Linked DNA regions of Pelodiscus sinensis. The main gene of each other region encodes a partner of the protein of the gene in region 2 in a complex. Links are inferred from orthologs where the notes say so. Each region holds a gene or a part of one and is shown on either strand. Other genes may lie near its edges.

Region 1 (7,137 bases), on a different chromosome or scaffold from region 2:
CTGTTCGGGCAAAAGTCCTTTTCCAGAAAACTGTTCCGGAAAAGGGCCAGTGTAGACAGCACAGATTTCTTTTCTGCAAAAAAGCCCCGATCGCGAAAATGACGATTGGGGCTTTTTTGCGGAAAAGCACGTCTACATTGGCACGGACGCTTTTCCGGAAAAAGTGCTTTTCCAGAAAAGCATCCTGCCAATGTAGACGCGCTTTTTCCGGAAATACTTATAACGGAAAACTGTTCCATTTTAAGCAGTTCCGGAAAATCATGCCAGTGTAGACATAGCCACTGGGTGCTCTTAAAACGCAGAAGACCTGGGCTCCATTTAAGAGTTACGCCTGCAGAGCTAACTTTTGTGTTCAGATCTGCGAGCGCAAGAAATCACAACACCGGCCCAACATTGCGATGCCAGACAAAGGCCTAGTCTAGGCACAGTTGGATACTTTGCTCAAAGAGCTGGCATAAATCATTCTGCCGAAGGAACTCTTGCTGCTACAAGTTGCATTTCCACTGGGAGGTTTTGCCGGGAGAGCCAGATGGGCAAAGCTTTTAGGTTTTAAAGGCCTAGCCTAAGATTTTTCCAAACGGAGTACTGATTTTAAGGCCCTTTGTGCTGGGTTGCCCCATTGGAGACACCCGTGGGGCTTTTCAGACAGCGTAGAGCATTCGCCGTTTCAAAATCACGTCCCTCTAAGACAGGTCAAATTTGGCATCCAAAAATTACGTGTCACTTGAAAATCTTGACCCTCAGCCGATGACTTTTGAGCTATGACATGGTGAAAGAGAGTCTGGAATTGGAGCACCTGAAAAAAATATCACTTCAGGCCATTGGGTCTCAGACTGTGGGGTCAGGACCCCAAGATGGATCCAATTTGAATGGGGTTGCCAGGGGCAGCTTAGACTTGCTGGGGCCTGGGGTTCAAGCTGGAGTCCCCCTGCCCAAGGCCAAAGCCAAAATCTGAGCGCGTCAGCCTTGGGTGGGGCTCAGGTTACAGGTCCCCTGTTACGTCCTTGGTGCTTTAGCTTTGGCTCTCCCCAGCCCTGAGTGATGGGACTCAGGCTTTGCCCCCACCCCACCTGGGGCAGTCGGGCTTGGGTGGGCTCAAGGTCCGGTCCCCTCTCCTGCAGCCATGAAGTGGTTTTTGCTGTCAGAAGCGGGTGGCGGCGCATGAAGTTTGCTCCATCCCTACTTGGCCGCAGGGGATGCCAGTTCCAGGGCTGAGCAAACTCCTGTGGACAGAAGCCATCAAGTGTTGCCTACTTCTGGAGTAGGAAGTGGGCCTGAAACACTTGCCCATGTATCACAGGCCTGGCGAGAGACCCGAGGCCTAGGCAAAAGTAGTCAAGACTTTGCTAATAGAAAGCACAGTGGAGCTGTGAGCAAGAAGCGCTTAGGTTCAGCTCCGACTCCTACAGAACCAGTGCGAGTTGGCTCAATCCTTTAGGCTTTGCCGTAAACGACTGCGATTGCTCGTTAGCTGGGGGAGTGACAGCCTTGCTGCCGTACCCTGACTCCAGTCTTCTTTTGAAGGGGATGTGCTCAACCTATCTCCATCGGTGGCTGAGAGCATCCTATATATCCCCTCACTGGTGACCCCATGAACTGAGGAAATCCTTTCCAGCCTGTTAGCTCCTGAGGAGACTGTTATAAAAATATTTCCCTCAGTAGATATTGTCTATCAGCAGGCCCTGAAAACTTGCACCGAGTGTACAAAAGAAGTTGGCTGAGGAGATCTCTGGTTCACTGATGTTAATCTACTATATATCTGAGAGAGTTTGTCTGTCTGTCTGTCTGTCTGTCCAAGAACTCCTCAGCGGGAAGAGCTAGGACCACCACATTCGGGAAGCAGCTTCCTCTTGTCGTGGCTTAAAGCAAGGTCAGGTTTCGGTTGTGCCAGGACAATGGGGAGTGCGTGGAATGGGATTGCGTCTCATCAAACCATGCAGAAAAGAGACAGACTTACCAGGCAGGTGAAAGAGGCTGGCTGCACGTGCACCCTTCCCCCCCATCTTAGACTGCTCCAGCTCCGAGGCTCCTACCCCCCATGCACCCTTTAGGGAAGGCGGGGGGTGGGGCTGAAGCTCCCTCCTGCTCCCATTTGTAGGGGAACATTGCTGGCGGTTCCCCTTCATCAGGGAGTGAGGGGAGTGCTGTGTTTGCTGCATTCCTCTCTCTGGCTGGAGAGGGCAGGGGGCAGATGAATCCGGACCTGCGCCAGCCAGGGAACAGGCACGCCTCCCCCAGCTGTGCCCACTGGCGCTGCAGTGGCCTTGCAGAGGCGCTTCTCACTTGACCCCAAGCGGCTGCCATGAGAGGGTGCTGGGGTAGTCCTCTCCCCTGTGAACTGAGCCCCTCCTCCCCAGCCTGACTCCAGAGCAATGATTCAAATGAAGCGTGAATATTTTTATTGTATTTTCCAAAACCCAAAAATTGAGTCAAGGACCCCAGCAATGCCGGGTAAACTTCCGGTGTGTCCTACATGGTAGAATACCTGGGCTAACATTGTGCCGGTATTTAAAATGGGCAAGAGAGGAGCTGGATAACAATAGGTGGGGTAATAAGAAATCAGTCCTGGACAAGATAATGGATAAGTCACCTCTAGTTCAATTGCTGAAAAACAAAGAGGAGGGGATAAAGTCATCCCAGCTATTGCAACCAGCAATGAGGTCTAGAGGCAAAACCTTTCCTGGGTCTTTGCAATGGGATATTTTGCTGAGGAACTGAGATCAATCAGACAACATGGCACCCAGATACTAGGTGTCAATTGGTTCTCTAAAAATACAGCGTCTGTGTCTACATTGGCACCCCTTTCCGGAAAAGGGATGCTAATGAGACACTTCGGAATTGCAAATCCGCGGGGGATTTAAATATCCCCTGCGGCATTTGCATGAACATGGCTGCCGATTTTTCCGGCTCAGGATTATGACGGAGAAAAGCGCCAGTCTAGATGCGATTTTCCGGAAAATAAACCCTTTTCCGGAAGATCTCTTATTCCTACTTGGAAAAGGGTTTATTTTCCGGAAAATCATGTCTAGACTGGCGCTTTTCTCCGGCATAACCCCAAGCCGGAAAAAAGTGGCAGCCATGTAAATGCAAATGCCGTGGGGGATATTTAAATCCCCCGCGGATTTGCAATTCCGAAGTGTCTCATTAGCATCCCTTTTCCGGAAAGGGGTGCCAATGTAGACACAGCCAGGCAGAATTGGTAACATTATCATCTACACTTGGATTAGAGCAGATTAGGCTCAATTAGATTCAGCTGCAAGTCATCTTTTTAATGTTTTAACTGGAGAGTTTCCTCCTGGAGATGCACAAAACTCTACCACAATTCTTATTTTTGTCTTGGCCAATATTCCCATGAAAAATCAAACATCTCCCTGGCTCATGTTCAGTGACTTCATAGAGACTTTAGGTTTCACTCCGGCTTAGTAAACCTGGCTTTATCTTCAAGAACAATTAGTCATTCTTGCAGTGACAGAGGAATGAGCTAGTTAAACCAGCGACCTCATGTAGAGGATTCTAAGAAAATACATTACATAACATACTACAAAGCCAGATTTTTTTTTTTACCCTTCCACTAAAGGATGCAAACTAAAAATGGACAAGCCGGCTAACAAGTTGAGGCAAACTTGACACAAGACAGATAGCTCACTCTGTACAAATAATAGCTCTTGGCCGATAAATGGAAAGCAATTTTAAGACTGTTCGTATTGTCATGAGAGCACAGCTTGCTAAAAGCACAGGGTTCAACCAGATGGTTGATTTTCGGAGGACAGGCGTAAAGGACCGTGGTATAGATTTGAGGGGTGATATTTTCTCCTGGCGAATTGAGTAGTTTGTTCTTACTCCCTGTTGTTATTTTTTTGGCATGGGGTGGAGGGGGGAAGTAGGGAAAACCAGAGTCTTTTCCTCCACCCCACCCCCCGCCCCGTTAAAAAAGTTCCTCTGAAGCCCTGTCAATGTTGGCCAACCCCGCCCCCAACGATAAAAGAGCATAATTAAGCAACGATGACCCTGCAGAGAAATGTGGATTCTTTGCAGCATACAATGTCCAGCCACATGTTTGTCAGATGTTTACAGAATCTTCATTAACGAAGAGCTTTGCAAGATAACAGAAACTGAAGCATGGCATCATGGCTTGAGATAAGGGCAAGTGTCCAACCAAGCTGCCTGACAACTGACAAGAGGCTGGGGGGTTGCAAACGAGCTCGAGAAAGTGATTTGCAAAGGGCTCTCACTCCAGTGGCTCGCCTTCCGTCTCCCGTTCTTCTGCCTCGAACGGGAGGCGCGATCTAGTCAGCTGGAAGAACCCGGTCCTTTTCCCACTTTCCGACGGAGGCGCATCCGTGAAAGATGTGCTCGTGGGGGGCGACGGCGGCCTGGCTGGTTTTCAACATCATCGCTTGCGTGGCAAGAGGCAAGCCCTTGGAAGCCTGGGGTAAATTATCAGAGAAATCCTTCGGTGAGCCCAGCGAGGTGGAGGGCAAGACCCCTTTCAACTTGAAAGCCTTCCTGGAAAACATGAAAGCCGATTTCCTGAGGAGTTTGAACTTATCCGGCGTCCCTTTGCAAGAGAGGTCTAGAGAGGAGCCCCCGCAGTTCATGATCGATCTGTACAACAAGTATGCCACGGACAAGTCTTCCAGCCCGGCCTCCAACGTCGTGCGGAGCTTCAGTGCAGAAGGTATGAAATGTCTTACACCTATAGACCGGGGTTGGACAAGAAGCTAGAGAGTCCGTGTCAAATCCCATTGCAAATCAAAGGGACTCAGGCACCTAACTCCCTTGGGCTTCTTTGGAAAATCCCCGGCATAGTCTCTTTTGTTATCCTTTCCGCTGCTCTTCTCTTATACTCTTCCAGGTCCTAAATCCTTTTCTCTGAGTCCACATTGTGCCCTCTTGCTTCTCCAAGAAGCAAACGAAATATTCCAACTCTCCAAACAGAGTCACCACAACTTGGCTGCCTTGCCTTTGTTTTGGGGCTGAGATTTGGGGCTGAGCTGCAAAATTTGGGGGTAGGTTTTCCAACACCCCCAACTCTGGAGGATGTTTGGCCCTTGGGCATTGCTCCAGCCCTTTGTAAAGACAGGAGTCGAACGGGAAATGGGACTCCCGATTGCTGCTAGGAACACCAGCCTTTGCATTCAGAGATCGGGAGTGAGTGGGGCTGGGGGGTTTGGTTCAGAGCCCCGCTCAGCACCTCAGGAACATACCCGACCATCCAGGGCTTAATTTGTGCCAGGCCTTGCCCAGGCAAAGGCCCTAAACCTCTCCACTCAGTAGCAGTCTCTAGGCTGGCCCTAGCACCTCTGGGCTTCCTGCGTCACTTACGAATGTAAAAAATTCCTTGCGGCCCAGCACCTTTTTCAGCAGAGTTTCAGCCATCTAAGACAGCACACGACTCAATCCTTTTAAAAGCCCTCTCGTTAGAATCAATAAAAGGGGCGGGGGTGTTTTAAGTGAATTTGGTGCTGGCCGAAAGAACCAGCCAAGACAAATTCAAATGTCCATGTATCTAGACCCAGCACAGACGACAGCGTGGCAGCCGTCTCCACATTCCCGCACAAGCACACCCCCTTCTCGGTGTGAGCTAGGGTGCAGGCTCCCTGGCCCCTCCTCTGCTCTGATTGGCCAGGGAGATTGGGGAAGATGCTTTTGGCAGGGTGGATGCTTGTGAGATGACACCCACCCACCCATCTCACAGCCATCAGCTGGGGGTAACTTACCAAAACCCCTTACAGACATGCCTCGCACCTCCAGCTCCCATGGCCTTTGGCTGGAATTACGTCTCTGACTAGCCAGCCCTGCCCGGGAACAGAAGCAGGGATTGGGAGAGGAAAGGCTCCATTTCCGAATACCAAGCTCCCAAGCCAGCCGGAGCCAGGAGCTTCTCCATCAGACTTGCAAAGGGTTTGATCGTCCACTTTGGTTCCTCCCTAGTGCAAGATGTTTTGTGGGGAAACTCAGCTACGATAGCTATAAACTAGAGATGTAGGTTCCATATCCCTATGCCTGAGCCTCCCCCTCCAGGGGAAGGGGAATTTGCCCCAGCTCACGATCATGGTCGTGGGATTTGTACTACCAACCCCCAGGGAGGTTTACAGCTGTAATTCCTCTGCAGAGGCCACATGGCAGAGCCTTTATGGGAAGCCACTGCATTTGCACACGCCCCTCATGAGCCAACACCACCCACTTTTGGAGCTGTGCTGGCACCTTGTGTGTGGACACATCACACTCATGTACACACACACACACACACACACACACACACACACAGGGAGTCTGAAGGTGAGGTTACTGTGGATCACAACTTGATCCCTGGTGGATTTGCTACCCATAGGGACCTCCCTCTGGGTTTCACTCTGGAGTGAAGCCAGTTCATTTATTTAATACTGGTGGCCATGGTGTAACGTCACTCCCAGCAGCTACTAGTAACGGGTGGGCATTTCTTCTGAAACATAGCATGCCACCGGCGAAGTGCGTTCGTCTTCATTGGATTAGCCTCTATCCTAGGAGGCAGGGTGACCGCCTCTCTTAATTTCCTCTTGCAGATGTTGTCTCTATGGCTTCCCCAGAAGAAAATCCATTTCAGAAACACCTCTTGCTCTTCAACGTCTCTATCCCCCGGCACGAAGTCATCACCAGAGCTGAGCTGCGACTCCACATTGCCTGCAGTAGGGACGTCGGGCCTCTCTCAAGGCTGGAAGGCAAGTTAGTCATTTATGATGTTACCGATAGACATCTCTGGCAAAGCCCAGAAGGCGCCAAAGCCTTCCTTGTCTCCCGAGAGATCCAGGAATGCGGATGGGAAATGTTTGAGGTGTCCGGTGCTGTGAAAAGATGGGTCAGGGCAGACAAACCCAAGACCAAAAACAAGCTTGAGGTTGTGGTGGAGCGGAAAACCCAGGGGGACTCCGTTTATGGGAAACTGGACATCAGTGTGTCGCCCGACACGACACAACTGCCCTTGCTGGTAGTGTTCTCCAACGACCACAGCAACGGGAGCAAGGAGACCAGATTGGAGCTCCGGGAAATGATAGTTCATGAGCAGGAGAGCATGCTGAAGAAGTTAGCCAAGAACAGCACTTTGCCTGAAGAGGAAGAGGAGGGAGAGGCGAAATCCATATCCGACCCCGGGCTCCA
Region 2 (7,221 bases):
GTATTAAATATTTTGGCTCTTCTTCTACATTTTCAGATGTATTGCATTATGTGTTGCAACTGAAATCCAAATATATATTTTATTACAAATATTTGCACTGTAAAATGATAAAAATAAATAGTATTTTTCAATTGACAAATACGTTAGTGCAATCTCTGTGTTCTTACAAATGTATATTTTTTTACATAACTGCACTCAAAACCATAATAATGTAAAGCTTCAGAACTTACAAGTTCCACTCAGTCTTACTTCTTGTTCAGCCAATCTCTAAGAAAAAAAGTTTACATTTGCAGGAGAAAATGCTACGACTTATTTACATCACAAGAAAGTAAAAACAGACACTTTTGTACACAGGCACTTTTTGCAAGGTATGCTAAACATTCATATTTCCCTTCATGCATTGTCCACCATTCCAGAGGACATGCTTCCATGCTGATGATGCTCTCTAAAAAAATAACATGTTAATTAAATTTGTGACTGAGCTCCTTGGCGGGAGAACTGTATGTCCTCTGTTCTATTTTACCCACATTCTACCATATTCCATGTTATAGAAGTCTCAGACAGTGACCCAACACCTGTTGTTCATTTTAAGAACACTTTCACTACAGATTTCACACAACACAAAGAAGGTACCAATATATTTGAAAACGTAGACTACAACCAAAATATTTAAATAAATGGGTTTCTATTAGTTTAACAATGCAATAAATTGCATGATTAATCACAATTAATTTTTTTACTCATGTGATTAATCACAATTATTTTTTAATCTCCTGACAGCCCTAAAAATATCCAAATATGAAATAATATAATAGAAGGAAGTTGTATCTTGGTGTTTGTGTGACAAATACTCTTCCACAGACAAGCCAGGGGGCCTTATTTGTCATTGATTTGTGCTTTGCAGTTTCTTGCACTTTTGCAAACTGAGTGTCTGTGGCTATTTGTAGCATTTTACACCTACTTTGCAGAATTGTGAATGAAAGTGCAAAGCAGTGAAGAATTAGGCCTGCTGGTAATCACCTATAGCTGGCCAGAGAAGAATGGAACCACTGTGGTTTAATAATGGAGATATAATTTAAATATACAGAGGACTGGATTAGGTGTTCCAATCTCTAGGTTCCAATTCTAACTCACTTGTGGTGTTGGACAAATCAGTCACCCAGTTTGGGCCTCTGTTTACTTCTAGGTGGGTCATAAAGTTTAATTAAGGCATAGCTTTACATGTGCTTTGAGATCTGAACGAAAACAGCTAAGTTTTAAGCCATCTGCTGTGGGGCTGTGTTTTGTATAGAACGAACAGGTTACAGTAGAATGCTTTTGTCAATGTAGCCAACATTGTTCAGAGCATTAGTGTCCTAGACTGGCAGAAAATGCCCTTCTATAGTTTTACTCTGCATCTACATTATGGGGCACTGCTAAGCTCATGGGTGGTTGATGAAGTTAGGGCCTCACCTCCAACGCTGCCCCTTCTGCTGAGGCTCTGCTCCTTCCCTGCCCTCACAGGGAAGGCAGGTGAGTAGGTGGGTTTGTGCTTGCCCCAGCCTCCCCAGCCCCAGAGCACCAGGGGAGGGAGGAATGTGCAGGGGGCACAGTGTAGGTAGGGCCATGCCTGTCAGTTTGGGAATGCAAAGCCTTCCCCTGCCTAGGCGAACAGATGCCCATGGCTAAGCTGACAAAGCTATGCCAGTATAGTCTATGTAGTGGTGACATGCCTTCTTCTCTGTCTTGTGTTCTCCTTTGCCACACGTGACCAGTGGTATCTGTCCTCTTGAAACATTTTTGTAGGTCTTGTCTTTGCTCTGTGGGATGTGGTTTTTCCCTCTTTTTCTTGCTACCTGTAATGTTACTCCCTCTACTTTATTGATAGGTGACTTGCATTTTCACTAGCTGTTCCACATGCACCACCTGTTAGTGCAAACTTACTCTGTAATTTTTCTGAAAGTGCCTTTGCCATATAGAAAATCACAACTACTGCATGCATTTTTCCATCTCACATGCATTTTTCTTTACTGGTATCAAAGTCATAATAATTTATTTGTTCTTAGGAAGCCTTTTATGAGTTAGGAGAGTGTACCAATTATGAATCAGGATCCACTGTGCTAGACATACAAACATAAAACAAAAAGATGGTCCCTGGCCACGAGCTCTTATAAAAGTATTCCCAGGGAGCCTCTAGATTTTGTTTAAAGCTTCATGTTTGTGATCTCTCTAAGAAGTCCTCCCACTGTTCTACCAATAGGTATGGGTTTGGCCCCCACAGGACCCCCCATGCAAGTAGCCTGCAAGTGCATTAACCCAGCTTGTATTGCATTAACTTGGGGAGAGAGGCTGGAGGAAGTGTTCCCTCTAAGATTTTCCTCCCATGAGTGGAGTGAATTTTGTCTTGTGCACCACTATTGAGTTCATGTGCGCTTGTTCAGATGTGTGCCACTGTTATTTATTTTATGATATTTATTAATATCTTATAAACTTCTCTCTTGTCCCTCTGCTGCCATGTCTCCTCCCCTTACCCCATCTGCTCCCCTGGTGCTTGCTGCTGCCCCCCTATCCCTCACTCTCTTCTGGTGTCCTGGCTCCTGACCTTCTCACTCCCGTCACCCCTTTGGGGACCTGTCCCCCTCCCCATCCTTCTTGACCCCTGCACCAGCCCATCTCTTCCCCCTGTGTCTACTCCGCCTCTAGCCCTACTCTGATCATCTGTAGCTACCCCTTCCTATCCTCTCTGCACAGCAGAGGCGGTCCCACAGGGACAGTGGAGAGAAGAGGTGCCGCATACCTCCAAAAGCTGGTCTGGCTGCCTGCTGGCAAAGATCCAATGGTGCTGCCTATGTGCTTTGCCAAGGGGAGGGTGGTGGTGAAGAAGGAGGCTGCTGTATCATGTGAGGAGCAATGGCACAGAGTCATTTCTTGGTTGCTTCTTCCTGCAAGCCGCTGTCCCATCAGGTAGTGAAATGTCTGGCAGGGCTTTCTGGGACATTTCACTACTTGATGGGGACACCAGGACAGAGTATTTAAAGTCAGGACTGTCCCGGAAAAATCGGGATTGAATGTCAGTGTATCTATAGGTGTTTTACCACTGCCTTTAATGGAAGCAGAGTTAGGCCAATGCTGACAGCATTTGAAACTCCCACCCTAAGACTTTATCGCATAACAAGCTATTTAAGTGTTGACAAAGTGCAGCTGGTCTGAAACACCCCCGTAAATCTCTCTCAGAAGAAGACTTCCCGCGTTGTTTGATCTGCTGGGTCCCATTTGTCACTACTGGCCATATCTGATTTAATGGCAGTTGCTTTGTAGTAGGAGGGCATGTTTGCCAGCTCTCTTCATTCTTCCAAGGACACTCTTTCTTCATGACTTTCTGATAACGTCTTCTATGATTTCTGAGAGAGAACACATTTTTCTTGCACTCTCTGGCTTTCAGATGTTGGAGCAGAAGGTGACTGATCGCCCCCTCAGTCCCTGCTCTCTCACATCTGTTGCTGGACTGTCCTCTCTCTCCAGTTTTGACTCTTGTGGCTCCCCATTTCCACCTCTGGCTTACCAGCAGGGATGCAGCATTAGCTGCCTTCCCCCCTGTACATCCCTGGCGGGACGGGGCAGGCTAAAGCGACAGTGCAGTCCAGAGAGCTGGCGCCAAGAGCCTCTGAAACTCACCGCCACAAGAGAGGAGCAGGAGCGTGGCTGGAATCAGAAAGCGGCCAGGATGAGTCACAGGGGGCACGGGAGTAGCAGGTGGGAGGTCACCCACCGGCGCCAAAGTTTGGGAGGGACATAAAACCTCCTGCGTCGGGGCTGACACCAACCTCCGCCGGGGGTGGGGGTGTCCCCGAAATCCCCCCCACCCGGGGCAGCTCACCCCCTCCAAGCTCCCACCAGCCCCTCCGGCCCCTTCCTCCCTGGCATCTGCGCCTGGCCCCGAGCCACCGGCAGGGCGCGGGCGGGCAAGTCCTGGCCTGTCACTGGAGGGAAGGGGGCCCCCGGCCGGGGGGGGGGGCTGCCCGGCGCTCGCCCTCCTTTCCCGCCCCCGCCTTGACGGGCAGCGCCTCCCCCCACTCAGCGGCCGGGCTGCCTCAGCCCCCTCCGGCCCCCGCCCCGCCGCCCGCCTTTGTATCCAACATCCGGGTCCCCCGCCGGCTCCGGCTCGGCTTCTCCCCCCGCAGGAGCCATTTTGGACTCGGTTCAGGATTTTTTTTTTTTTTTTTTTTTTTTTTTTTTGTACATGGCCCCTCCAGAGCCAGCCTCTGCCGCCGCCCTGCCCCGCGCCGGCCGCCGCCGCCCGCTCCCCGCGCGAGCGATGCCTCGGGCCGGACCCTCGCCCCAGCCAGCCCCGCGCGCCACTGCCCGCCTCGGAGCCCGCTCCCTGCGCTCCTCCTCTCTCAGCCGCCGCTCAGCCGCCGGGGCAGCCACCGCCTCCTCCTCCTCCTCCTCCTCGGCAGCCGCTGGGCTGGTGCCTCCTGCTGCTCAGCAGCTTCCCTGGATGCTGGGTTGGTAACATTGCTGCAAAGTTTCGGGGCTGCCGCCCGCTTTGCATTTGGTGGTGGCCGCCCGGCTGCGGGGGTCGCGCGCGTGCTGCTGGGGGTTGCTTATCTCCCCCTCCTCCTTCTCCTCCTCCTCCTCCTCCTCCCTGTCTTTTGGGTGCGTGCGTGTTGTTGTCCCTCGTCCCCGCTGCTTGGGGCAGGCAGAAGGGGCTGGGCTGGGGTGGGGGGTGGGGGAGAGAGAGTTGGTGTGTTGCACGCTTGTCTCCCTTGCACAAAAGCCCCGGCCGAGCAAACTCTTGGAAAGCTCGGAGCAGGAGCCGGACGGCTACCGGGCTACAGCTGTCCTGGCGCTGCCATTTGGTGCCCCATTCGAACTGGATACGTTGTTGCAACTGTGAAGGAACTCAACTCGCTTTTGTGGGAGCCTTATTTTTGTTGTGCTTGTTTTTCGGGAGCGATTCTCATTTTCCTCCAACCTCGCCCCCCGCCCCTTTCGCTCTCCCGATCGGTTTTTTCCCCCCTTGGGGGTAGAGGGGGAAACACAAGGGGGGGAAAAAGTAAAGGAATATGATTGCTTCGTGGTTGACTTTCGCCTTTCTTTGTGGAACTTTCGGTGCAGGTAAGTAAATTTCTGTCTTTCCCTTCACCAGTTTTGTATTAACATTCGAAAAAAGAATCAAATGGTGTGCAGTTATTCGAAACTACCTCCCTTTCCCCTTAAATATCCCTTAACTGCAACGAATAGTGGGGGGAAAAGGCTGTTCCTAAGATTTTTTTTTTTTAGAAGAAACCCTCCTGTTTTCGTTGTTGGTTTTGATATCAATGGATTATGTTTCTGCAGTGTTCCTTTAATTAAGCAGAGTGTGAATGAATTAGTGTTCCTGGCCTCAGATTCCTAGGAAACTTTGTAAAATGGCATGGTGTGTGTCAGAATCGAGTTGAACGTAGTAAAAAAAAAAAAAAAAAAAAAAAAAAAAAGAAAACCTTTTGGTTGTTAGTAACTGTTTTGTTTTTCAGGTAGAGAGAGCCATATGTTTTTTACTCCCGGGTTTGCAAGGTTGCGTTGTGTAAATTGCTTGATTTCTTTCCCCCTTCTCTTTTTCATGAATGTGTTAATTTCGTGTGAGTTTACTAGCCCTTAAGAAACGTTGCTCGCCTTTTCCACAAGATTCTTCTTGATCGTGTCTTTTAATTCTTTGAAAGGGACCGTTTGTAAATAGCTTGCCAGAGTTAAACGGTGCTGATAGTCGGTCGAAGCGTGTCTCTCCTCCCTTACCCCCTTAATGAAATGTTATGATCCCATAGATTTTTTGCTATTTTTATGAGATGTGTCATTTAGGCTGATTTGTGACACGGTGACATAATAGAAAGTTGTAAGAGAGAAGCGGAAGAACCCATCTTTTGAGAGGCTTTTTTTTTGGGGGGGGGGGTATTTTGTTTTTAAACCTTCCCTCGTGATCCTTTTGAAAACTTCACAAATCTGCAGGGTTTGCATTTTCATGGGGATATTGTGTGGCATGATGGAACTTAATGTAAACATTGGACGTGCTAAGGGGATCAGAAGGCCATGCTACAAAATGAATCTTCCAAAGCGTTGAGATACATTTGATTTACATTTGCTTTAGCTTGAAGAGCTGTCTTTTTGGGGCAAAAGGGGCGTGGTGGGGCGCGCATGTGACACTAACTGTGGGTTTTTAGGGGGTAGTTCAGTGTTTCAGGGATATGTGGTGTGTACTTATGAAAATATTCCCTTTCTGCTAGGTCTGTTGAGCTATTACAAAACCGGAGTGTCCCCTTTGTCAAGGGGGAAAGAGGTGTTTTTTTTAGCTAGAGCCATTTCTGGGAGGCGAGCCTTAGCGTTGTAGGGCTGCTTTGTTGTGTGGTTTCCCTCCTTGTTTTGATGAGGAGTGGAGAGGAGGAGAGCTCACCCTTTGGGGATTGGTAAAACAATGATCTAGGTTACAAATCGCACACAGCAACACAATCTTTTGATCCTACAGACACGTACATGAATGTTATTAATATGGGTTTGTTACAAAATAGAAAGACTTAATTATTTGACCCCCCCCCCCCCCCCAAATCAGTGCATTTCCCTCCATGGACCATGGTTCCAGGGCTCATTTTGCAAGGGAAAGGAGTGATTTCCCACTAGTACACGGCAATTTTCTTTTTTTGTTTTTATCTCCTCCGCCCCCCCCCCCCCAAACATAATAGATCCTAATCTGATCTTTATTTTGTCACATCTGGTGTTCTGATAGGGGAAGTCTGTGTGTAGTAACTTGTTACGTTGTATCCAATACCGAACAGAGACAGGGTGGTTGGTGTGGTGTGTATTTTTAGGGGGTGGCGGAGGCGTTGTGAATAAAGGATCGCAGGAGGCTGCTAGTTTTAAAGGGGGGAAGTGTGCTACAGTTGTACCCTAGGCTGCTTGTGTGCATCTGATGTGAATGCAGTTTTCTTGTCCTTTGGCTATTTTTATTTTAAATTTGGAGAGACGGGGGTGGGGGGAGATTTCCCACTGCGTTGGTTAGATGGTTTCTTACTGGAAACCGGGAGGCGACCCTGTCCGGTTCTGCAAAGAGGGTCGGGGGGGCAAAGGGCGCGAGATCGGGTTGGGTTTGTTTTGGAATGTGTTCCCAGGAATCGTACTAGCTGAAATCTACCAGGCGCAAGGTTCTTGCTGCTGGTGGTGGTTCTTTGTTCCGAGTGCCCATTAAATATGCAGTGCCACTGCCTGGGTTTT

What was found.
Region 1: the proteins of ACVR2B (region 2) and GDF2 are in contact, whole or in part, in a crystal structure (PDB 4FAO), measured with the Homo sapiens proteins. The link is inferred for Pelodiscus sinensis from reciprocal best matches to the Homo sapiens genes ACVR2B and GDF2. Residues at the interface, in NP_001097.2 of Homo sapiens: Asn35, Glu39, Cys49, Glu50, Glu52, Lys55, Leu57, Tyr60, Ser62, Arg64, Val73, Lys74, Cys77, Trp78, Leu79, Asp81, Phe82, Asn83, Glu94, Gln98, Val99, Phe101; in NP_057288.1 of Homo sapiens: Arg333, Ile346, Ala347, Pro348, Lys349, Glu350, Tyr351, Glu352, Lys397, Ser399, Pro400, Ile401, Ser402, Val403, Leu404, Lys406, Gly410, Val411, Pro412, Thr413, Leu414, Tyr416, His417.

The regions. Positions count from the first base shown.
Region 1 is NC_134718.1:5,221,873-5,229,009, reverse strand, and holds the start of GDF2 (growth/differentiation factor 2), read left to right. Parts: upstream 1-4,115; 5' UTR 4,116-4,347; coding exon 4,348-4,678; intron 4,679-6,545; coding exon 6,546-7,137. UniProt on the Homo sapiens protein: Potent circulating inhibitor of angiogenesis. Signals through the type I activin receptor ACVRL1 but not other Alks. Signaling through SMAD1 in endothelial cells requires TGF-beta coreceptor endoglin/ENG.
Region 2 is NC_134712.1:245,474,644-245,481,864, forward strand, and holds the start of ACVR2B (activin receptor type-2B), read left to right. Parts: upstream 1-4,200; 5' UTR 4,201-5,045; coding exon 5,046-5,097; intron 5,098-7,221. UniProt on the Homo sapiens protein: Transmembrane serine/threonine kinase activin type-2 receptor forming an activin receptor complex with activin type-1 serine/threonine kinase receptors (ACVR1, ACVR1B or ACVR1c).